Linked DNA regions of Saccharomyces cerevisiae S288C. Changing the gene in region 4 together with the main gene of any one other region gives a genetic interaction. Each region holds a gene or a part of one and is shown on either strand. Other genes may lie near its edges. The genes, in order: SHO1, SAC1, STE11 and SSK1.

What was found.
Region 1: mutations in SSK1 (region 4) and SHO1 impair growth when combined (synthetic growth defect), as found in Saccharomyces cerevisiae (7 studies listed by BioGRID, with this or other methods).
Region 2: mutations in SSK1 (region 4) and SAC1 together harm fitness more than expected from each alone (negative genetic interaction), as found in Saccharomyces cerevisiae (3 studies listed by BioGRID, with this or other methods).
Region 3: mutations in SSK1 (region 4) and STE11 impair growth when combined (synthetic growth defect), as found in Saccharomyces cerevisiae (7 studies listed by BioGRID, with this or other methods).

Annotation. Positions count from the first base shown.
Region 1 is NC_001137.3:397,452-402,936, reverse strand, and holds SHO1 (osmosensor SHO1), read left to right. Parts: upstream 1-3,881; coding exon 3,882-4,985; downstream 4,986-5,485. Other genes in the region: GLO3 (ADP-ribosylation factor GTPase-activating protein), read left to right, coding at 1-66; YER121W (uncharacterized protein), read right to left, coding at 218-562; phosphatidylinositol-binding protein SCS2, read right to left, coding at 1,068-1,802; AVT6 (aspartate/glutamate transporter), read left to right, coding at 2,095-3,441; 60S ribosomal protein uL14 RPL23B, read right to left, coding at 5,284-5,485. UniProt on the Saccharomyces cerevisiae protein: Plasma membrane osmosensor that activates the high osmolarity glycerol (HOG) MAPK signaling pathway in response to high osmolarity.
Region 2 is NC_001143.9:31,674-37,766, forward strand, and holds SAC1 (phosphatidylinositol-3-phosphatase SAC1), read left to right. Parts: upstream 1-2,869; coding exon 2,870-4,741; downstream 4,742-6,093. Other genes in the region: YRA2 (Yra2p), read right to left, coding at 1-20; DOA1 (Doa1p), read right to left, coding at 287-2,434; TRP3 (bifunctional anthranilate synthase/indole-3-glycerol-phosphate synthase), read right to left, coding at 5,026-6,093. UniProt on the Saccharomyces cerevisiae protein: Phosphoinositide phosphatase which catalyzes the hydrolysis of phosphatidylinositol 3-phosphate (PtdIns(3)P) and phosphatidylinositol 4-phosphate (PtdIns(4)P). Has low activity towards phosphatidylinositol-3,5-bisphosphate (PtdIns(3,5)P2).
Region 3 is NC_001144.5:847,966-852,519, reverse strand, and holds STE11 (mitogen-activated protein kinase kinase kinase STE11), read right to left. Parts: upstream 2,655-4,554; coding exon 501-2,654; downstream 1-500. Other genes in the region: NMD4 (Nmd4p), read left to right, coding at 1-25; YLR361C-A (uncharacterized protein), read left to right, coding at 2,841-3,137; DCR2 (phosphoprotein phosphatase), read left to right, coding at 3,396-4,554. UniProt on the Saccharomyces cerevisiae protein: Serine/threonine protein kinase required for cell-type-specific transcription and signal transduction in yeast. It is thought that it phosphorylates the STE7 protein kinase which itself, phosphorylates the FUS3 and or KSS1 kinases.
Region 4 is NC_001144.5:160,035-166,554, forward strand, and holds SSK1 (mitogen-activated protein kinase kinase kinase SSK1), read right to left. Parts: upstream 3,860-6,520; coding exon 1,721-3,859; downstream 1-1,720. Other genes in the region: TFIIH/NER complex subunit SSL1, read left to right, coding at 15-1,400; Smc5-Smc6 complex subunit NSE1, read left to right, coding at 4,358-5,368; PAM18 (Pam18p), read right to left, coding at 5,543-6,049; RLP24 (ATPase-activating ribosome biosynthesis protein), read left to right, coding at 6,503-6,520. UniProt on the Saccharomyces cerevisiae protein: Final receptor of the SLN1-YPD1-SSK1 two-component regulatory system, which controls activity of the HOG1 pathway in response to changes in the osmolarity of the extracellular environment.

The DNA.
Region 1 (5,485 bases), on a different chromosome or scaffold from region 4:
AGAGACGTTGTAGAACAGGGTGCTGAAAAACTCGGTAGTTATTTAAGGGACTACTTAAGAAAATAAGTTTAATTTTCTCTTTAATTGAATTTTTTTTTTTTCATTGTTATCATTGTTTTTTATTCTCATTTTTCATTATATGATAATTATATTTATGGTACATAGAAACGGTTGTATATGCATTGTACGTGCGTTTATTCTTATTCTTCATCCCCCCTTATCTTAGTTTAAGGTTTCTAAAATCGAAAGTTTCATGTGCGTATGAAGCGGTTGAAAATGCAGACGAGGTAGCATTTGGTTCATTAGCATTATAAACACTTTGCTTTAAAGAAGGTAAGTTATTTTCGACATCTCTGTTTCTAATTGCTTCATCGTCCACATAGGGAGAGTCTATACCCACTTTCCAAAACGAGTTCATTACTTGATTACCATATTCGTTAGAAACACTTGCATTTAAACTATCACTTGCCGCAAGGGCGTAGTAGTGCGCATCCTGTTGCATTTCTTCGCTCTTTTCCTCTGCTGGCCTTGAATTCTTGTCGTGCCAGCGCGATAAGCCCATGTTACTATATTGTCAATATGTGAGTCCCTCGTTCACTATGAGACCTAGCAAAAAACAAACTGAAAGTAGGTGGCTGTTTATGTATTCATTTATTTATGGACCTTTTAGGCGCGACCCCCTCGCAAGATCTTCGTTAATGTGCATCCAAGACCCTCCCCTCATTTAGTAGACCCCGCATTGTTATGGTTAATAACGGATAGTTATTTGCCCAAGATAGCGCCTACTACACTAGGGAAACCGAACATGAATAAATTAAACAAGTAATATGTTACAACAGTGGTATAGTTATCGATTATTCTCCTATTTAAAAAATAAAACATATAAAAAAGTTAGGAAAGTATGATCTTTTAGTTCCTTGTTCTAGTATTGTAAAGGCTACAGAAGGAAACAATAAAAAAAGATTGTAGAAAAACAAAGTAAAATAAAGACTGAAAGGAAGGAAAGGGCAAAACACACACATATATAAATATATATTTAGAATACAGCTATATCCTCAATCTCCCTATTATCTGTAGAACCATCCTAAAACCAAGATAAGGAGTGCAACCAATATGAATATACCCATGCTGGATGATTCATTTTCTGCAGGTACGGTTGCGGCTTCCTTTATCTGGTTCTGTGGGGCCGGAGTGCTGTTGGACGTTTGCTTCTCATTTTCATGAGGAACGGTTTTCTGAACGACAGGTGGGACCTCTTCTTTCTTTACTTGGACGGGAGGTTGAGTTTCCGGTTCAGCAGGGACCTCCTTTTCGTTTACCACAGCAGGCACTTCCTTTGGCTCACTGTCTTGGACTACTGGTTCAACAGTTTCCTTGTTTTCCTGTATATTTTGGTTCTGTGCTGGGTGTACATCTGGACTTATCAAATATTTGACTTTTATCTTTTTAGAGATAGCCTGTTGCTTGAACTCAGCCTCCAAGTCGGACCAAACATCTGCAACAGCCTTGCCATTGAGGTCGTAAGGAGAAGGCAACGTGATAACCAGGAACTTGTCACGGCACTTAAAGTCTGCGGCAGGCTCTTCAGTCAAACCCAGGAAGATAACTTGAACCTGGATTGTTTCACCTGGAGCAACAACTGCGGCGTTTGGTCTCACGCAGTAAAACTTTGGGGCTGTGGTCTTGACCTTAAATGCAATGGTTTGGTCTGAATTGTTGGAAATACTAGCGTATTCTGTCGATTGCTCCGTTAATGGAGACTTATACACCAACACGTCAGGGGAAATTTCAACAGCAGACATACTTAGGTTCGCGGAGATTGTAGAATACCCTTCTGCTACACTATTAACACAGAATGTGCGTCAAACCACACCACACAATAAACAATGCACTTTGCTACTAAAACCATTCTATTCACCTTGCGAAAACAACAAGCGAAAAAAAAAAAGCGAGGGCGAAAGAGTAAGATCACCACGCACGTTTAGGGGATCGGAGAGCTTATCTATACAGCAACTAGAAGTATATAGAACAACAATGGTCGAACGACGGGTTAGTTTCACAGCTCAATAACCATAGAAAGGAATCGTGCATCATATGGTAGCTAGTATTAGATCAGGTGTGCTGACACTTTTACACACGGCGTGCGGTGCTGGTATCCTGGCCATGCCGTACGCATTCAAGCCGTTTGGATTAATTCCTGGAGTGATAATGATAGTGCTGTGTGGGGCGTGCGCTATGCAAAGCTTGTTCATACAAGCTCGTGTAGCTAAATACGTACCACAGGGGAGGGCCTCGTTCAGTGCTCTGACGCGGTTGATTAACCCAAATCTAGGTATTGTGTTTGACCTAGCGATCGCTATCAAGTGTTTTGGTGTGGGCGTCTCTTATATGATTGTAGTTGGGGATCTGATGCCCCAAATAATGTCTGTGTGGACCAGAAATGCTTGGCTGTTGAACAGGAACGTGCAAATTTCACTGATCATGCTTTTTTTCGTGGCCCCGCTGTCTTTTCTGAAGAAGTTGAATTCGTTGAGGTACGCTTCCATGGTGGCCATCTCTTCTGTAGCGTACTTGTGTGTTTTGGTGTTGTTGCACTATGTAGCACCATCAGATGAGATTCTTCGCTTGAAAGGCCGGATCTCCTACCTCCTGCCACCACAATCGCATGATTTGAACGTGCTAAACACTCTTCCAATTTTTGTCTTTGCCTACACATGTCACCACAATATGTTTTCAATAATCAATGAGCAGAGGTCAAGCCGGTTCGAGCATGTGATGAAGATTCCACTGATAGCAATATCTTTGGCTCTCATCTTATATATTGCGATCGGCTGTGCTGGATACCTGACATTCGGCGACAACATCATTGGAAACATTATCATGCTGTACCCGCAAGCGGTCTCGAGCACCATCGGCAGAATAGCGATTGTGTTGTTGGTGATGCTGGCGTTCCCACTACAGTGTCATCCTGCAAGAGCTTCAATCCATCAGATTTTGCAACACTTCGCCGAGGAAAATGTAAGTATAAGTGCTACATCGGCGGATGAACCCACTGTTGCTACCGAAAGTTCTCCGTTGATTCGCGACAGTAGCCTTGACCTCAATGAGGTAATTGAAGAAGAATCTATTTATCAGCCTAAGGAGACTCCATTGAGAGGCAAGAGCTTTATTGTTATAACGTGCAGCATTTTAGTTGCATCATATCTTGTCGCCATTTCGGTTTCCTCCTTGGCCCGTGTACTGGCCATTGTTGGGGCCACAGGCTCCACTTCTATTTCTTTCATTCTGCCCGGGCTCTTTGGCTACAAGCTTATAGGAACTGAGCACAAGACAGCCGTGCCATTGACGACAAAGATTTTCAAATACACAGGTCTTCTCTTGTTTATCTGGGGGCTAATAATCATGATCACCTGCCTGACCGCAGCTTTGAAGCTAAACTAAATAAGCAAGAGTATACTCATTCTTTTTTTGCTATTCCTCCATACGTACATAGACCCTTGAACCTACATATCCGCGTAAGAAACTATTAATAACCTAGCACCTGCGTTAAATCAGAAATTCTTAATCGCGTTTTACATTCCCAACGCGTTCAATCTATTTACACACAACAGCTTTCGGAGTCGGGCTTTTGCTTCATACGTATTATAAAAATTTCAGCGATTGCTGAAATATGCAAAGAACACAGGAACACGAATAAAGTCATTGAGCCTCGTTTTCAGTGAGGTATCATTGTCTATCATATCAGCTTTCTTTGCTCAACAGAATCGCTAAAAGAAAGGGCGTGTTATTAACAGTAGCCAACCCAATAATTTGAAAACAACATTGGACATTATAGATCAACGCCATCTTTTCAGAAACACCAAAAATCACGTTTTCAAAATATGTCAATATCATCAAAGATAAGACCAACTCCTCGTAAACCTTCACGTATGGCTACCGACCATTCTTTTAAAATGAAAAAATTTTATGCCGATCCTTTCGCTATATCATCAATTTCTTTGGCAATTGTATCGTGGGTCATCGCCATCGGGGGCTCCATCTCATCTGCATCCACCAATGAATCCTTCCCACGTTTTACTTGGTGGGGTATAGTATACCAATTTCTAATTATTTGTTCTTTAATGCTGTTCTATTGTTTTGATTTAGTCGATCATTACAGAATCTTCATCACCACATCTATTGCAGTGGCATTTGTGTATAATACAAACAGTGCAACGAATTTAGTGTATGCGGATGGTCCCAAGAAAGCTGCTGCTTCAGCAGGTGTCATCTTACTTTCCATCATAAATTTAATCTGGATTCTGTACTACGGCGGTGATAATGCTTCCCCAACCAATAGATGGATTGATTCGTTTTCCATTAAGGGTATCAGGCCTTCGCCATTAGAGAATTCTCTTCATAGAGCTCGTCGAAGAGGCAATAGGAACACAACGCCTTACCAAAATAATGTCTATAATGATGCTATACGAGACTCAGGCTACGCGACACAGTTTGATGGATATCCACAGCAGCAACCTTCTCACACAAATTATGTATCTTCTACGGCATTGGCTGGTTTTGAGAATACTCAGCCAAATACTTCAGAAGCCGTTAATCTTCACTTGAACACTCTACAACAACGTATCAATAGCGCAAGCAACGCGAAGGAAACCAATGATAATAGCAATAATCAAACCAATACTAATATAGGTAATACGTTCGATACTGATTTTTCAAATGGCAATACGGAAACTACGATGGGAGACACTTTGGGTCTGTATAGCGATATCGGTGATGATAATTTCATTTACAAGGCAAAAGCACTGTACCCATACGACGCTGATGACGATGATGCTTACGAAATCTCATTTGAACAAAATGAAATCCTACAAGTCTCTGACATTGAAGGCAGATGGTGGAAGGCAAGAAGGGCAAACGGTGAAACAGGTATTATTCCAAGCAATTATGTTCAACTAATCGATGGTCCAGAAGAAATGCATCGTTAATGATTAACAATCTTATAGCATGGATTCTCGAGTCAAAGGAAAAAAATAAAGAAACCTATCTTTATGACCCTCTACAGTAATGTTTTGAAGAATATAGTTCTGTAATTGTAGGAAAAATCATTCTTATGTATTATGTTTACTCTAGGATGTTCACAAAGAAAAAGGCAACCGCTTCACTGAAATATTCTCCAACAATGTATATATGCACTCTCATGTCATTGACTTGACTTGGATTGTTTATATTAATATTTTAAAAGGTTACATAATGATTTAAAAGAATTTTTCTTGGAAATTTTATTTAAACAACAACACCAGAGTTGGAAGCAACTCTTGGCCATAAGTCGGCACATTCCTTACCGACTGGACCAGTAATGGCAGAACCCTTCATTTCACCCTTAGGATTAGCGATGACACCAGCATTGTCCTCGAAGTACAAAAAGACACCGTCTCTTCTTCTCCAAGACTTAGCTTGACGGACAACAATAGCTGGCATAACCTTC
Region 2 (6,093 bases), on a different chromosome or scaffold from region 4:
TCGTCAAATGCTTTGTCCATTGCAAAATGCAGTATTGAATCGTCTAATGGAAAAGGTACTAGACGCTTATCGTTTCAGTTTTTTAGTCTTTTCCATCTATTTATCAGTCTGTACTCAAAATAACCTTATTGTATGTAACCTTTTTCATTTCACGATGATAATTTCTTGCCGAGTTAGACAGAAAATGACCGTGATAGTTTGTCATAATTTTCAATAGGGCAGAAAGAATTTTAAAGATTATTTGCTATCTAGACATTATGTGTTTTATATGATTGCTGTAAAAGTATTAGGAGAGATCGTCGAAAATATCCTTAAACCTTGGCACGTTCCCATAGCTCCTTTTGATGTTTGCAAGCCAAGTTACGGAGTTGGCAAATTGTCTTAATGTAGGTTCAACAGTAGCCAAATTTCCGTAAGCTACGGTTAGCCTATATGCGGCTTCTTCGCATTCTTGATACTCTTCCAATGGCCCATACTTGGTGTTGATGGCGTCAGCTACGATAGGCAAAAGTTCTAAATCAGAGTTCCCTTTCGTGACGAGAGCTGAATAGTTGAAAATTAGTGTGGAAACTGCAATAGCCAAATTCTGTGACTGTTTAGCAGATGCCTGAGAAAATTCAGTATCTATAGTCTCAAAAATTGATTTATAAACTTGATTTGATTCCAGTAATTTCACACCCCAGTTTTCATTATTGAAGCAATTTACCAAAATACGCACAGTTAACATGGTTAGAGTGATATTCTTATTGCCCAAGCCTTCTTCGATGTAATCTTTTATATCTGAAGAATAAGGTAATTTTTTTACAATCAATCGTACTATGTCGTATGCAGGAGTCTTAATTTCCCAGTTAGATCTTATAGTGTTAGCAAATGAAAGTAGCAACTCCCAGCTTTCATCTATGTCATGTAGTGCGCCACCAATTTGCGCCAGAATTTCATCATCAAAGGTCTTCTCATTTGAATTTATTTTTACTATTCCATTGAAAATAGTATCTGGGTTATAATTTTCCATGATAAGATACTGCTTGACAGGAAGAACCTTCATTACGCTCGTTTTTGAAGGTGATACTGCAGAAGATGATGCATTATCGTTGGGCTGGTCTAGCGATATGCCATTAGTGTTCTTCAGTATGAACTGTACTACTTGATCCCTATAACTCATTGGCAGTTCATAACGAGCCAAAAAATTGTCGGCTGCTGTATATGGGTTGTCGCTGACATTAATCGGCAATTTCAAGGGAGGTTTTCCATCTTCAATATCCACATCAAATACGTAGTCATACGTTTTACCCTCGAATTCTATTTTTTTGTCGTTTCCAGTAGCACCTGCACCGACAACATCACCAACCTTTTTCCATGAAGAATTTGAAAATTGATGAGCTTCTATAGTACCTTGAGGTGATTTGACTACCACAATTTGACCCTCTTTGCGCCCCGGCGATTGTAAAATTTCATAAGGTGATAGTTTAGACTCATCAAATTCTATTGTCTTGGAACTTATAGTGGATTTTTCCACTTGCGTAGATAGTTCATTTATTTCATCCTCGGAAGCCCATCTTGACTTCTCTTGCGAAAATATTCTCACAAGATTATCACTACTTCCCACAATAATATCACCATTAGACATACAATCAACGGACCAAATAGAGATGGCAGGAAGTGTAATTACCTGCTTTAACGAACCATTTTCCTTTGACCATATACGGACTGTTCGGTCTTCGCCGCAGCTTACAATATCTCCATTGGGCAGCAGTTTAATGCAATAAACAAAGCTTTCATGGCCTTCATATGTTCTTAGTACGTCACCTGTATGCATATCAACCAACTTGATGAGGCCATCGTTTGAACAACTGATAAAATGGCCATCATCCACCACAGCTAAATGTCTTACTACATCATTGTGAATCCCACTGAAAGTTTTGATCACTTTATCGTTTTGCCACAGTTTAATCGTCTTATCGGCGGAAGCTGTCAAGAATTTATTTTCTGAGAAGGATACGACTTTGGCATCCCATACAGAGGCATTGTGTGCTTGCAAATTGTAAACCAACGATCCTTCTTTCCAAACCTTTGCGGTTTTGTCCCAACTACCGCTTATCACAACACCATCTTGGAAGGATAAACTACAAACGTTCCCTTGGTGGCCAATCAAGGTATACAAGGGATCCTCTCCTGAGGTGGCAAACAAGGGCACACCGTTGATCATAGTATCCTTACCTCCAAAAAGCAACAACTCCTTCTCGGAATCATAACACACACTATTTAAAAATCCTTGTCCTGTATAAACTACCGTACCGAGCCATTGGTCATCTTTAGACCACAAGCGAACTGTTCCATCCCTCGAAACACTAGCAACCTTTGAATCATCCACAGCTACCACATCCCTGACGTCCTGATCGTGCCCTTTAAGTGTTGCACTCAATTGATATCCCATACTCCAAATCTGCTGCTCTACACCTTACTATCACACATGAATATATATATATAAAATAAGCCAAGACAGTGGCCTTCCCTTATTATCAGCGTACTAAAATCTCATATGATTTATTTTTCGTGGTCCTGAACGAGTGTGAAAAATTTTGAAAAACTCGCAAAGGAAATGCCAAGGTCAGCAACTTTCTCGACGTCCAAGCCTCGCTCCTATTGTTTTAGTAACCTGTAGACCTTCAATATTCAAGAGCTTGCACACGCACGCATTGCTGCACTACTGCTTACCCACACTACAAATTTAATTCCAGCTTATTGAAGTTGAAAAGGCAAGGGAAAAATACCACAGGTTTAGATAAGGAAATAGGAGAAAGGATTAGAAACCATATCCCTATAACAGTAACGATAATATTTATATACACGTATATTTTCTCGTCTAGATATGACAGGTCCAATAGTGTACGTTCAAAATGCGGACGGTATCTTCTTCAAGCTTGCTGAGGGCAAAGGAACTAACGATGCTGTTATTCACTTGGCCAATCAAGATCAAGGTGTTCGGGTCCTTGGAGCAGAGGAATTTCCTGTGCAAGGTGAAGTAGTAAAGATTGCGTCCTTGATGGGGTTCATTAAGCTAAAGTTGAACAGGTATGCCATTATCGCAAATACTGTGGAAGAGACCGGTAGATTCAATGGCCACGTTTTCTATAGAGTGTTGCAACATTCTATCGTATCTACCAAGTTTAACTCGAGAATCGATTCTGAAGAAGCCGAATATATCAAGCTACTGGAGTTGCATTTGAAAAATTCCACCTTTTATTTTTCATACACATATGATTTAACAAATTCCTTACAAAGAAATGAAAAGGTTGGTCCTGCAGCCTCCTGGAAAACCGCTGATGAACGATTCTTTTGGAACCATTACTTAACTGAAGATTTGAGAAACTTTGCTCATCAAGATCCTAGAATTGACTCCTTTATACAACCTGTTATCTATGGGTATGCCAAGACAGTGGACGCCGTTTTGAATGCCACCCCTATCGTTCTTGGTTTGATTACCAGACGTAGTATATTTAGGGCGGGCACAAGATACTTCCGTCGTGGTGTTGACAAAGACGGTAACGTTGGCAATTTCAATGAAACTGAGCAAATTTTACTCGCTGAGAATCCAGAGAGTGAAAAAATACACGTTTTCTCCTTCTTACAGACAAGAGGATCTGTGCCAATATACTGGGCTGAAATCAACAACTTGAAGTACAAGCCAAATCTTGTTCTTGGAGAAAACTCATTAGATGCGACAAAAAAGCATTTTGACCAGCAAAAGGAGTTATATGGCGACAACTACTTGGTTAACCTAGTCAACCAAAAGGGCCACGAACTACCCGTGAAAGAGGGCTATGAATCAGTCGTGCACGCGCTAAACGATCCGAAGATTCACTACGTGTATTTTGACTTCCACCATGAATGTCGTAAGATGCAATGGCATAGAGTGAAATTGTTAATTGATCACCTGGAGAAATTAGGTTTATCTAACGAAGATTTCTTCCACAAGGTCATAGACTCTAATGGTAACACCGTTGAAATTGTTAATGAGCAACATTCCGTTGTAAGAACAAACTGTATGGATTGTTTGGACAGAACAAATGTCGTTCAATCTGTTTTAGCCCAGTGGGTTTTGCAAAAGGAGTTTGAAAGTGCCGATGTCGTTGCTACTGGAAGCACTTGGGAAGACAACGCTCCATTGTTAACTTCTTACCAAAACTTATGGGCTGATAATGCAGATGCAGTTAGTGTGGCATATTCGGGCACTGGAGCTTTGAAGACCGATTTCACAAGAACCGGTAAGCGTACACGTCTAGGTGCATTCAACGATTTTTTGAATTCAGCATCACGTTATTACCAGAACAATTGGACTGATGGTCCAAGACAGGATTCATACGATTTATTCCTTGGTGGATTTAGACCACATACCGCTTCTATCAAGTCGCCATTCCCCGACAGAAGACCAGTGTATATTCAGCTGATCCCAATGATCATTTGCGCAGCCTTGACCGTTTTAGGTGCTACGATATTTTTTCCTAAAGATAGATTTACCAGCAGTAAGAATTTGCTGTATTTTGCAGGTGCGTCGATTGTCTTGGCGCTTTCAACCAAATTCATGTTTAAGAACGGTATTCAGTTTGTCAACTGGCCTAAGTTAGTAGACGTTGGGTTCTTGGTCGTTCATCAAACGCATGATAAAGAACAACAATTCAAAGGTTTGAAATATGCACAGAGTCCTAAATTTTCCAAGCCGGATCCTTTAAAAAGAGATTAATGAGTTCTATATGTGATAAAATGATGATTATTGTAAATCCAAAACGTAAAACCGAAAATATGATAAAAACGAGAAAAAAAGTAAGTTAAAAAATAAAAAAATAAAAAAATGAACGCCGGCCCCAGAGGGAAGAACAAGCTATTTATTTTCTTTTTTACTTTATCTTTCATGGTCATATATATATATATATATATATATATATATCTTCTATAGGCTACTATACATGAAGGCGTTCGCCCTTACAACGTTAAGTTTTTTTCCCTATTGTACCGTGTAAGTTTCAATTATTCGCATAATTCATGAATGAACTTCTTCACATCGGTTGATTTCATTAGGGCTTCACCCACTAAAAATCCATGGACACCTTCTTTTTTGTATTTTTCAGCATCGTCCCTGGTGGTAATTCCCGATAGAGCAATTAGAAGAACATCCTTTGGAATAGATTCTACCAAGTTACTGGTGGTATTTAGGTCTACGTTGAATGAATGCAGGTCCCTATTATTGACACCTACAACTTTAGCACCAATTTCTAGAGCCCTTTGTAATTCCTCTTTGGAGTTCACCTCAACGAGAGGTTCCATGTTCAAATCTTTACTGTAGCTGTACAGTTCCTTCAATAAGGGTTGAGATAGCATCTTGACTATAAGAAGGACAGTGTCAGCTCCAGCTAATCTTGCTTCTAGTATTTGATACTTGCTGAAAATAAATTCTTTTCTCAAAACACAAGGCCTCTCCTTGGGAGGAAATTTCAAATCTAGGATTTTCCTCACATTTACTAAATCCTGTAACGAACCGTGAAACCAATGAGGTTCGGTCAATACGGAAATTGCGGATGCACCAGCCTCTGCGTATTTGAGAGCCTGTTCAGCAGCAACAGCTTTTAAACAAATGGGTCCCTTCGATGGAGAGGCACGCTTGACTTCAGCAAGAACAACGGCTCTTTTATGGGATGATGACAACACCGTGTAGAAATCCTGTAACGGTGGGGCAAGACCTAAATCATAGTTAGATTGTAAGTCTTGAAAGGTGAAACCTGGGATTTTAGACTGCTCATTGACGTCTATTTTACGCCGAGCATAGATACGGTCCAAAATAGAATTTGAAGGAGATGATTTGTTTTCCTCCCAAGTGCCTCCACTGACGTTTAAAATGTTCCTGATCATCAGATGACCTTCCTCGGTCAAGATGGATTCCGGATGAAATTGCACACCTTCTACAGTGTACTTCTTGTGTCTTACACCCATGATAATTCCATTTTCGGTACTCGCAGTAACCTTCAAGCAGGATGGTAGGGACGATTCTGTCCCGGCCAATGAATGGTATCTTGTCACAGCAATACCTTGCGGCACGTT
Region 3 (4,554 bases), 690 kb from region 4:
TACAGGCGAATTGTGGTCCCCATAAAAACAAGCATTTTTCAAATATTTCAATATCATTTTTGATAGATGGCTTTATCTTATGAGAAAAATTGGTAACAGATTATTCATGTGAATGAAACTCTATGGATTATTTCCTTGCTTTTGTCTATCTACCTCCTTTTCCTAGAGCAGGTTATTGAGAAGATATCAATGGTTTGATATCACCTCGCAAAGAAAGGCCTGTTTCTTCGTGCTTCCATCTGTGCGGTCGGATTTTTTTATCAGAATTATCTTACTTGATTTTATTCCAGGGGTATGAGAATCAAATACCGTCATCTAGTTTGGTCTTTTTTTCACAATTGTGATTTATGATTACTTAATCAGCGTAATTGAAAAAAAAAAACCGGTAAATAGCAGATATATTCAATAAATGTCACTAAATATGATATATATGTATTATTTGATAAAAAATCGGCCAGAGCACTTTAGTGCCATAAAAAGAATTAATAAGTAGCCCTTTTTCAAATTATGTGTGCATCCAGCCATGGATGCTGCAGCAATTCAAGGGCACTAGGCCTGTATTGATAATCCAACTCAAATGCCTTTCTTAAGAAATTCTTTCCTTCTGACGTAGCCCAGGAAGGTATCTCGGGGGTCGTGTTTGTGCCTATTTTGAAGATCGCTTGCATTTGAGAAAAATCTGGGAAAGGATGCTTACCGGTAAACATTTCAATGACAACACATCCTGTAGACCATATATCCGCTTTAGCAGTAGTAGCGGTCTGTTTGACCACCTCTGGTGACATCCAGAATACGGAACCTTGCAAAGAAGCTCTCTTATTTTGTTTTTTATTCAAAGGTGATAATTTTTTTGAAATACCAAAATCAGTAATTTTTACGCAACCTTTGATATCAATCAAAATATTTGCACCCTTGATATCTCTGTGAATAATGTTCTTCTTATGCAAATACGCAACCCCAATCAGTATTTGCCTAGTGAAATTAGTAATCAGTGATTCCTCAAATGGACCGTAATTATTCAGCATGGAGGAAACCGAACCCCCAGGAACGTATTCAAGAAAAATATTTAAATTTCCGCCTTCTTGAGAAGCACCATAATAAGTAACAATGTTCTCATGATGTAACTCCTTCAATAAATTCATTTCATGCTGTAAAGCATCAACCATCTTTCTGTGAATATTTTGATTGGTTTTTGGATGACTTACCGCCCCAACATCTTCTATTTTCTCTTGTTGTTCCTCCTGCTCATTATTCTCATCAGAATTGGCTTGTTTATTGTTGTCTGTGGGAACACCAATGTTATTATTTTTTATCTCCACTTGCTTTACTGCCATTAGTTCACCAGTGTGAGCATTCATGCCCAAGTAAACACTCCCAAAACTGCCTGATCCAATGCAAGCACCTTTTAACCAATTCTTGGGCGTGGCAATTTTCGTCGGTAATGAAACAATGTCACTGTCCTCCCCAAAGAAATCGTGATCTTCTTCTTCACCAGACTCTACACTTAATAGTTCTAACTGGTTAGATATGGCATCATTATCTTCTGGCCTTTTATGGGCAAGCTTCGGAATTTTAGTTGTGTCAAGTTTACTGCTTAATCTTGTCTGATCTAATCCTTGTAATAGGGCCATATCAACAGCGTTTGAGTGTTTCAATAGTATGTCACCGATATTATTTGATTCTGCACTTAAAGGTCTTCTTTGAGCAATGCTTAGCCTTGCTGAATGGCGAAATGACTCTCTCATCGTCTTTTGCAACCGCTTCATGTCTGTATGAGGAAAATATCCGGCCAAATTGGTAGAAATAAATTCGCTAGGAGGCCTCTGATTAAAAATCTGTCTAATTCTGTCCTTTTCTGTGTTGTCGATCCGGAGTTTCCCTTCAGCATTGTTATGCGAAATCCCCTTGTTCTGTGCCAACAAATTTGACGAGGATGGCCCAACCTGGCTCAATGCACTCAACGTTCTTAGATATAGTTTTTTGGATGTGGATATAGCTTTATCACTTGGTGTTTGGTCTTTGGAAACAAAAATTAGCCTATTTTTCTCAACACGATCATTTGCGTGGCAAATAGTGACTAATTCCACGTCATATAGCAAATGCAGTACGTTCTTGGTATAATCTAAGACAAACACATCATAATCTTGGACCATTTTAGTTACTTCTCCATTGGAGTTTGTGGCTAATAATTCATGTGGCAATCTTCTGATTAGCCTTTTCTTAATAGAATCTGCATTAAAGCAACCATTTACATTAACTTTCTTAGCGGAACCATCGTTTAAGATAAATATAACACAGTGCTTTTCAGGAATCAATTCTGAATTCATCGATAGCGTAGCAGTGGATAGAGAGCTTACTTTTTCCATCAGGTTTTTCAATCTATTCACCTGTTCAATCCGTTTATCTCTCTGGAACGATTTTGACTTCCTTAAAATTTTGAGTCTGTCTCCTATTTTGTTTACACCCAAAGCAATGAGGATATCCTTGTCGAGATACTTAATTTCTTCTTCTGTGACAAGGTTGCACTGAATAAAGCTATCCAGGTATTGAGTGCATCCTATTTCCTCCAGAAATAACTGCACAAAAGGTAAATCGTTGGTCTTTTCGTCACCAATTAGTAAGTCAGTGCCCTCTGCTGTTTGTGTCTGTTCCATGTATATTTCGTCTACCGGTGATCTTATCATACTAGCTTTATTAAGTGGTCTCTCTTTATGCATGTGTGTAAATATGAATATTTTCTACTGTTTAAAGCCATCGCGGCGAAAGCTTTACACCTTAAAAGGCTTTTAATGCTAGCCTGATAACGAAAGGCATGGTGAGGACAGCATAAAGAAACTATAATGGCAGTTAGTAATAATAATAATAATAATAATAGTAAAGAACGCACCCAAAATATAAAAGAAGTGGAGGAAAAGTTGGGCGAGAATCCAAAGATTACTTTAAAAGGGGGAGGGAAAACTAAAATCATGGATTTTGAACAGTTACGCAAGCCCCATTGCGTAAGACCCAGTGCAAGATTTCCAGTTGAAGATACTGCCGGTGGTTTATTGAGAACGGGTGGCCACAGGCCTCAGATAAGTGATGAAGAAGTCTCTAAAAGGCACCATGAACAGTCTCATGGACAAGAAGATCATTAATAGTATTGTATATAGGACTTGCTCAGTTATATTTCATTTCTATTTCATAAGCTAGAAGGCTAACTTGTATAAAGCTGCGCAGAAAGTGTTTCCATTTTACGTATATTTAGATTTATATTTTGCCTTAGGTGCTTTTTGAATTTCAAATGGTTTAGTGTTGATCTTTTTCAAAAATTAATCTTTTTAGATCGCAGATACCTCTGATACAAGTTTTATACTTAAGTATCGAAGACCAGCACCGTGGTTAAAAATCTTAACATGATCCGGTTACCGAGGCTGTATCAAAGGTACCTATTATACTTGGTAGTTTTTGTAGTGATTGCCCTATTTTACTTCCTACAGGCGCCAAGAGTTGAAGAGCACATTGGTTTCGACCTTGCACTCCCGATATCACACGTTGATAATCTATGGTTCCAAAATAAAGGTCTAGAGGGATTCTCAAATGACGATAAGCTAGTTGTAAATATAGGCTATGACGAATGTTTTCATATTGGTCGTTTTTATGAAGGATGTTTTAATCGGCATGAACTTAAATCAACTTTAACTGATGGGCACCAATACTTACAAAGGAAAAGAATTCATAAAGACTTGAGAGGTTCCTTTGGACGCAGGTGGTTTGGAAAGTCAGAATACCTTTACTATGATGTGTTATACCCTGCTTTGGTGGACTACTTTGGATCCAACCTAGAAAAGCTAAATGTTGAGGCAGTAACTGGAATTTCCAAATATCCTAAAGACAAATCGCTACCCTTTATGGATGTATCCATCACATTCGAGCCTATTAGCATAGAACTATTGCAGAAAAGGAGCTACATAAGCGATATTAACATTCTCTTTGGTGTTGATTGCATCCAGCCGATAGCAAATTGGACTCTTCAAAAAGAATTTCCCTTAGTAAAATACCGCTACAGCGAACCTGCTTATTTGACTTACAAATTCGTTGGTACTCGTCCTGTAGACACAGGAGCTCAACGGCTGCAAGAAACTGATGAAGGAAAGTTCAAAATTGTTCAGTTGGCGGATCTCCACTTGGGTGTGGGGGAGTCTGAATGTATCGATGAGTATCCAAAGCATGAAGCTTGCAAGGCAGATCCAAAAACGGAAACTTTCGTTCAACAAGTTCTTGACATTGAAAAACCGCAGTTGGTTGTTTTTACTGGTGACCAAATCATGGGTGATAGATCTATTCAAGACTCTGAAACCGTATTATTAAAGGCGGTAGCACCCGTCATTGCAAGAAAAATTCCGTGGGCAATGGTATGGGGAAATCACGACGACGAGGGAAGCTTAACGCGCTGGCAGTTATCCGAAATAGCTTCAGTACTACCATATTCCCTTTTCAAGTTTAGTCCCCATGATACACACGATAATACGTTTGGCGTTGGTAATTATATTTATCAGATTTTTTCGAACAATG
Region 4 (6,520 bases):
GATTGTGCAGTAGAATGGCTCCTGTAGTTATTTCAGAATCTGAAGAGGATGAGGATAGAGTTGCCATTACTAGAAGAACTAAGAGACAAGTTCATTTTGATGGCGAGGGAGATGATCGTGTAGACCAACAGCAACAGCAGCACAGTTCAAGCCACAGGGATAGGGATAAACATGTGCAGCGTAAGAAGAAGAAAAGGCTCTCGAATAGAAACCTGCAAGGTTCAAATGGTGGGTACGCTTGGGAGGATGAGATCAAGAGAAGTTGGGATTTGGTGAAAGTGGACGATGAAGGGGATATGGCATCTCTTGTGGCTAGCATAGTCGAGGCCAGAAAGAAACGTACTGCTAAGAAAAACATAACGCCATACCAAAGAGGTATTATCAGAAGTTTAATATTAACACTAGATTGTAGTGAAGCTATGTTGGAAAAGGATTTGAGACCAAACAGGCATGCCATGATTATCCAGTACGCCATAGATTTTGTCCATGAATTTTTCGACCAAAATCCGATATCTCAAATGGGTATTATCATAATGAGAAACGGTTTGGCACAACTGGTCAGCCAAGTTAGCGGAAACCCGCAGGATCACATTGATGCGTTGAAATCCATCAGGAAACAAGAACCGAAAGGAAACCCTTCATTGCAAAATGCATTGGAAATGGCAAGAGGCCTTTTATTGCCTGTTCCTGCGCATTGTACAAGGGAAGTACTGATTGTATTTGGTAGTCTTTCCACAACTGATCCTGGAGATATTCACCAAACTATCGATTCGTTAGTTTCTGAGAAAATTAGAGTGAAGGTTTTGGGGTTATCAGCTCAAGTGGCCATATGTAAAGAATTATGCAAGGCAACGAATTATGGTGATGAATCCTTCTATAAAATTTTACTCGATGAAACTCACTTAAAGGAGCTATTTAACGAGGCTGTTACCCCTTTACCCGTTAACAAAATTAATAAGGGTTTCACACTCGTAAAGATGGGGTTTCCGACAAGGATATTCGAAGATACTCCAACTTTTTGTTCGTGCCATTCCAAGTTAGTTTACGGCGGATACTTCTGTCCCAATTGTCATAGTAAAGTTTGTTCATTGCCCACAGTCTGTCCATGTTGTGACTTGATGCTAATCCTTTCTACCCACCTGGCCAGATCATATCACCATCTGATGCCGTTAAAAACATTTGCAGAAGTACCTACAACAGAAAAATTTCGATCAGAAGACTGCTTTAGTTGCCAGTCAAGATTTCCCATACTGAAAAACCATAAAAATGGTAAACTACTGACAAGTTCTCGCTATCGTTGTGAAGATTGTAAACAAGAATTTTGTGTTGACTGCGATGTGTTCATCCATGAAATCCTTCATAACTGCCCAGGCTGTGAATCCAAGCCCGTAATAACTTAACGAAAATCTGTCAGCGTATAACACGATCACTCTTCCATCATATAACAAATCCAAGTAGTAGAGAACGAAATAGTTTTTGATGGACATATAACTACATAATTATTACAAAAATAACCTCATTTAATGTCCTATTGTTTATTACGAGAAAATCTTAATAGCACTTACGGCATTAAGAATATTTATTACTATTTTCAATTTATCAGGCACTTATTCAACTAAAAAAAAAAAAAAAATTCTTTGTTTTACAATAATATTAATAATTATTTTGAATAAATATCGTTACATTCTATCATAATGTCCTCTACACGGTACAACCAAACTCACAATTCTATTTGAGTGGGCGAGAGGTTTGAATTTTTTCTTACTGGGCTGTGTGTAGGGGTCATAGATGTCGCTTGTTTGAATGAGTGAGGGTTGGAAGGTGCAATAGGTTTCTGTGGAGATTTAACCAAAACACTGTCGGTCATCCGGCTTTCTCCCTGCTTCCAGCTGTCAAAATCAATCAAGGCTTGCATACATCCCCACTCTGTAATTTTCTTACTAAGCCAGTGTAAATTCACTGGTTTAGTCAGGTAGTCGTTACAACCAGAAAGAAGTGCTTTTCTTTTATCCATCTGAGAGTTAGATGCGGTCAATGCTACAATAATCACGGGCGCCTGAGAGAATCTCTTTGAAGTACCTTTTTCAAGATTGGAGTGTGAGTTATTGAGACTTTTTTGAATGCCAATGCCATTTTGTTTTTCGAAGTCCCTAATCTGCTTGGCAGCTTCTATACCAGACAAGACAGGCAGCTGTAAATCCATAAATATTAAATGAAGACCGCCTTCCTTCCAAATATTAACAGCTTCTTGACCATTTTTAGCCAGTTTATATGAGATTTTGTGTTTCCTCAGAAAGGAACCTAAGATAGCTTGGTTGATGACGTTGTCTTCAACTATTAAAACATTAATTTTGGGGAAAACTTTTTCACTTGTGGTGGTAAAAAGGTTTGGTAAAGGATCTGGTGGAGAGGAAACAGCAAAAGGTGCGTTATAAAGCGAGTTTGAGTAATGCGGCGTTTGACTACTTGTTAATATTGGTGATGCGGGCGTAACGTCTTCTTTTCTTCTTTGTACTTCCGACATGGGTTGCGTTATGCCTATACCAGCTTCATTAAGTGATCCGCTTTCTTGCGAAGGGGATCCGGTGTTCACTTCTAACTCTGAATGAGTAATTGTGTCTTCATTATTGAAAGATGAATCCGTGTGGGCCACTGGTTTATTTCGAAAATCTACCCCTCCTTTATAACCTTTTGGTAACAGCAAGATTGCTTGCCAAGGAGACTCGGCATCCTTTTCCTCATCCTTCAGTTCTTGTGACGCTCTTCTCAATTGCTCTTCATCAGTTATTAATTTAAATTCCTGAGGGCTGCTATTGCCATCTTTACCTTTAAGATCTGCTTTATCACCAATTGTTTGCTTAAGACCTTGTTCGCCCGGAGAAATATGGTCGTCTAGATGAAAAACACCAACGGCCCCATGGTCTGTTGGTTGAGTTTTCTGCTGCGAAATTTCTTCATTCGTAGGAACATAGTCTACAACATTTAAGATATCTAAAGGCGGTACATCCTGGCGTAAATTAACATTCGAAAATATCAGCAAAGGCTGCGATGCAGGTTGGGAACCCATGGTTCCGAATAGTTCCTTATATATGTTAATAGCCAATTCATCCGGTTCAAAGATGATTTTATAAGTGCAATCATTAACTGATTCTGTGGTAAAATTTAAACCTTTTCTAATCAACGGCCTTGTGTATTTATTTTTATTATGCGGTGAGACGTATGTAAGACCAGCTGATGCCATAATTTGATTATCAGAATGAAATTTAGGGTAGGGTGAGACTGAGGCAAATCGCAGTAACGGACTTTTAGTTGTTGCTGGAAACTGTTTAGGACTAGTAGAGTATGGTCTTTGCGGGCTTAGCATTGGCGCCTCGTTGGGAGGAAAATCCACATTGGTAGTCGCGGCCACTGTCGGCACGGCGGCAAAGGCGTCGTATAATGCTCCTCTTTTCTGCGTAGGTTTAGGATGCTGGAGAACATTCCTGTCCTTTGCAAGGTCTTTTGAAAGACCAAATGATCCTGCTGTGGGGCTCACTGAACTCTTGGTATTGCTATTAACGGAAAGGTTGGCGCCACTTCCAGCACCGTTACTCTTACTTCGACAACTATTATCGTTAGTGTTGTTACTACTGGTATTGTCGGCTTGATTGTCAAATTTAGGTGCGTAGAGGCCTATTGCAATGGAAGCATTATCGTTAATTTCTCGCCATCGAGTCGAACTCAGTTTCTGAAAAAACCTGCTCTTCAAATCATCAACAGTATCTATTTCATCGAACTGTACAGCAATTGGTTGGTTTACTTCATCAGTGGAGTTGTCTATTCGTAGCCAAACCTTCCACAGTAACGCAGAATTGAGCATTTTTACTTGTCTCCCCAAAATCGATTCGTTTTTGATTTACAGCAGCCTTTCCAATATTTCTTATACAAAACGGCCGAACTTGTACTCAAAATAAACGCTATTCTGAGGTCTAAAACTAACAAAACACGTAATTTTTCTGAATAAAACAATGTCTCCAACTAGTTAACCACAGCTTGGCTAGTTTCAATGTAGTCATTCCTAACAAAAAGGCAACCAGACCTATTTATAAATATATAGCCACTATTAAATTCACTAGAAAAAAAGTCAAAGATTCAATCCAGGGGCGCTTTTAGGGCTTCGGAAAGCTGAAAAAAATAGTTAGGACACTGATATCAATAATATAGGGAATTTGAATTATTGGAAAATGGAAATTAGGTTAAGGGATACCAAAAAAAGAAACGCGATAATTATAGGCATGGAGATGAGAATAATAACTATATATGTATGCGGTTCGGTACATATTCATTGCTGACTGAAGTCTGATAGTAGTCGTGGCGAATGGAGGTACATGAAGAGCAGGTCTCTGCACCTGTAACAGGGGATGCTACAGCAAAATATCTGCTGCAATATATCTTGTCAGCAAGAGGCATTTGCCATGAAAATGCTCTCATTCTAGCCCTAATGAGATTGGAAACCGATGCTTCAACGCTTAACACTGAATGGTCGATCCAGCAGTGGGTCGACAAGCTAAATGATTATATAAACGCTATAAACGTAAAACTGAACCTTTTGGGTTACAAGATCATTCGGATCAACCACGGGATTGGTAGAAACGCAGTGACTTTAAAGGCCAAGCAGAATTTTGAGTCCTTCGAAGATAATACAGCAATAAGGGCTCACAATAATGATTATGCAGTTTTGCAATCGATAGTACTTCCGGAGAGTAACAGGTTTTTCGTATATGTTAACTTAGCATCAACAGAAGAGACTAAGTTAGCCACAAGGTTTAACCAAAACGAGATCGAGTTTATGAAATGGGCCATAGAACAATTCATGATCAGTGGAGAGACTATCGTTGAAGGGCCTGCACTGGAAACCTCGATAATTGTGAAGGAAGTCAACCGTATTCTAGTAGCAGCTACAGGAGACTCAAACCTCGCGAAATGGCGTAAGTTCAGTACGTTTACTGTAGGGTCCACCAATCTTTTCCAATTTCAAGAATTAACAGCAACGGACATCGAAGACTTACTACTCCGATTATGCGAACTGAAATGGTTTTACAGGACTCAGGAAGGGAAATTCGGTATTGATCTTCGCTGTATAGCAGAACTAGAAGAGTATCTAACATCCATGTACAATTTGAACACTTGCCAAAATTGCCACAAGCTGGCAATTCAAGGTGTCAGGTGCGGCAACGAATCATGCCGAGAAGAGAATGAGGAAACTGGAGAGAATAGTCTGTCTCAAATTTGGCATGTTGATTGTTTCAAGCATTATATTACCCATGTAAGCAAGAATTGTGATCGTTGCGGTTCATCGCTAATCACAGAGGGCGTATACGTTATTTAAACTAAAATACATAGCTTTCCGTGTTATTTACAAGACTTATCTATACAAACATTTGATTGCCCGAAGTATTTTAATCTCCTAAACGGCATGTGATTGAACACGGTTCGAGGTTTATACCACTTGTATTAGGCATATATGCAATTGCAATAACTCATTTTAGGTTCCCGTTTTACCTTATTTGCTAATACCCCTTTTTTCCAAAAAGTCCTTAGCTTCGTTTATCTTAGTGGCCAAAAATGGAGAACCACCTTTGTCAGGATGATTAGCTAACATAATTTTCCTATGAACCTCTTTCAACTTTTTTTTAGTCAATGTATTTTCTGTCAAATTCAAAATCTGTAGAGCCTCTTTAGAATTCATTTTCGGGTCAAATCCGCCTTTCAAGAAGGCAGTAGTGGATTTTCCACCGTTAAGTCCCTTCGATATTGATTTATATGCACCGGCTGTAAAATATAAAGTTAAAAAGGCCCCAAAACCTGTTATCACAGGATGTTCTCCCATGTAGTTCAAAGCTTGATCAAAATAAAGGTCCATTCCGGTCTTTTGACCCTGCGAACCATTCTGGATACCGACATTAACACCAGCTCCATCAACAGTAACGTTCGCAGAGCCATTAGTTTGACCAGGAATGGGTAGTTGTGGTGCCTCAATAGAATTACCAGTATTACTTTGAGAACTCATGATATTGTGCGGGTGGAAGTGTTTATGCAACCTTATTAAACTGTGCTCGGCCAGTGGAGACGTACAAATTCCACTACTATTCGTACTTTGTCTAGTTCAAGGGTCTCCGTCGAGTGAGTCCTACGTTGATTCAAATGGCTTTCACATTTGGTCCGATTCTCGCTCTTTAAATTTTTTGCCCGCTCGCCTCGAACTCAGCGGAGTGAAAAATTTTCACTCGTCTTTTATTAAATAATGTATTTCTAAACTCATCTCATCTCATCCCACCCTATCTCCAACTTACATCAGTTTCTATCTTGATCCGTGATATACCACTTTTAAGTTCTTCGACTTGTGATTTGAAAGATATTGCTATTCAAGCGTGAGTTGTCCATATTGTTACCACCACCTCCCCGTGATTTACATTCAGAAACTAAAAGGAAAAGGAAGTAGAAGTTTAGTAAGTATAAAAAAATGAGAATTTATCAATGC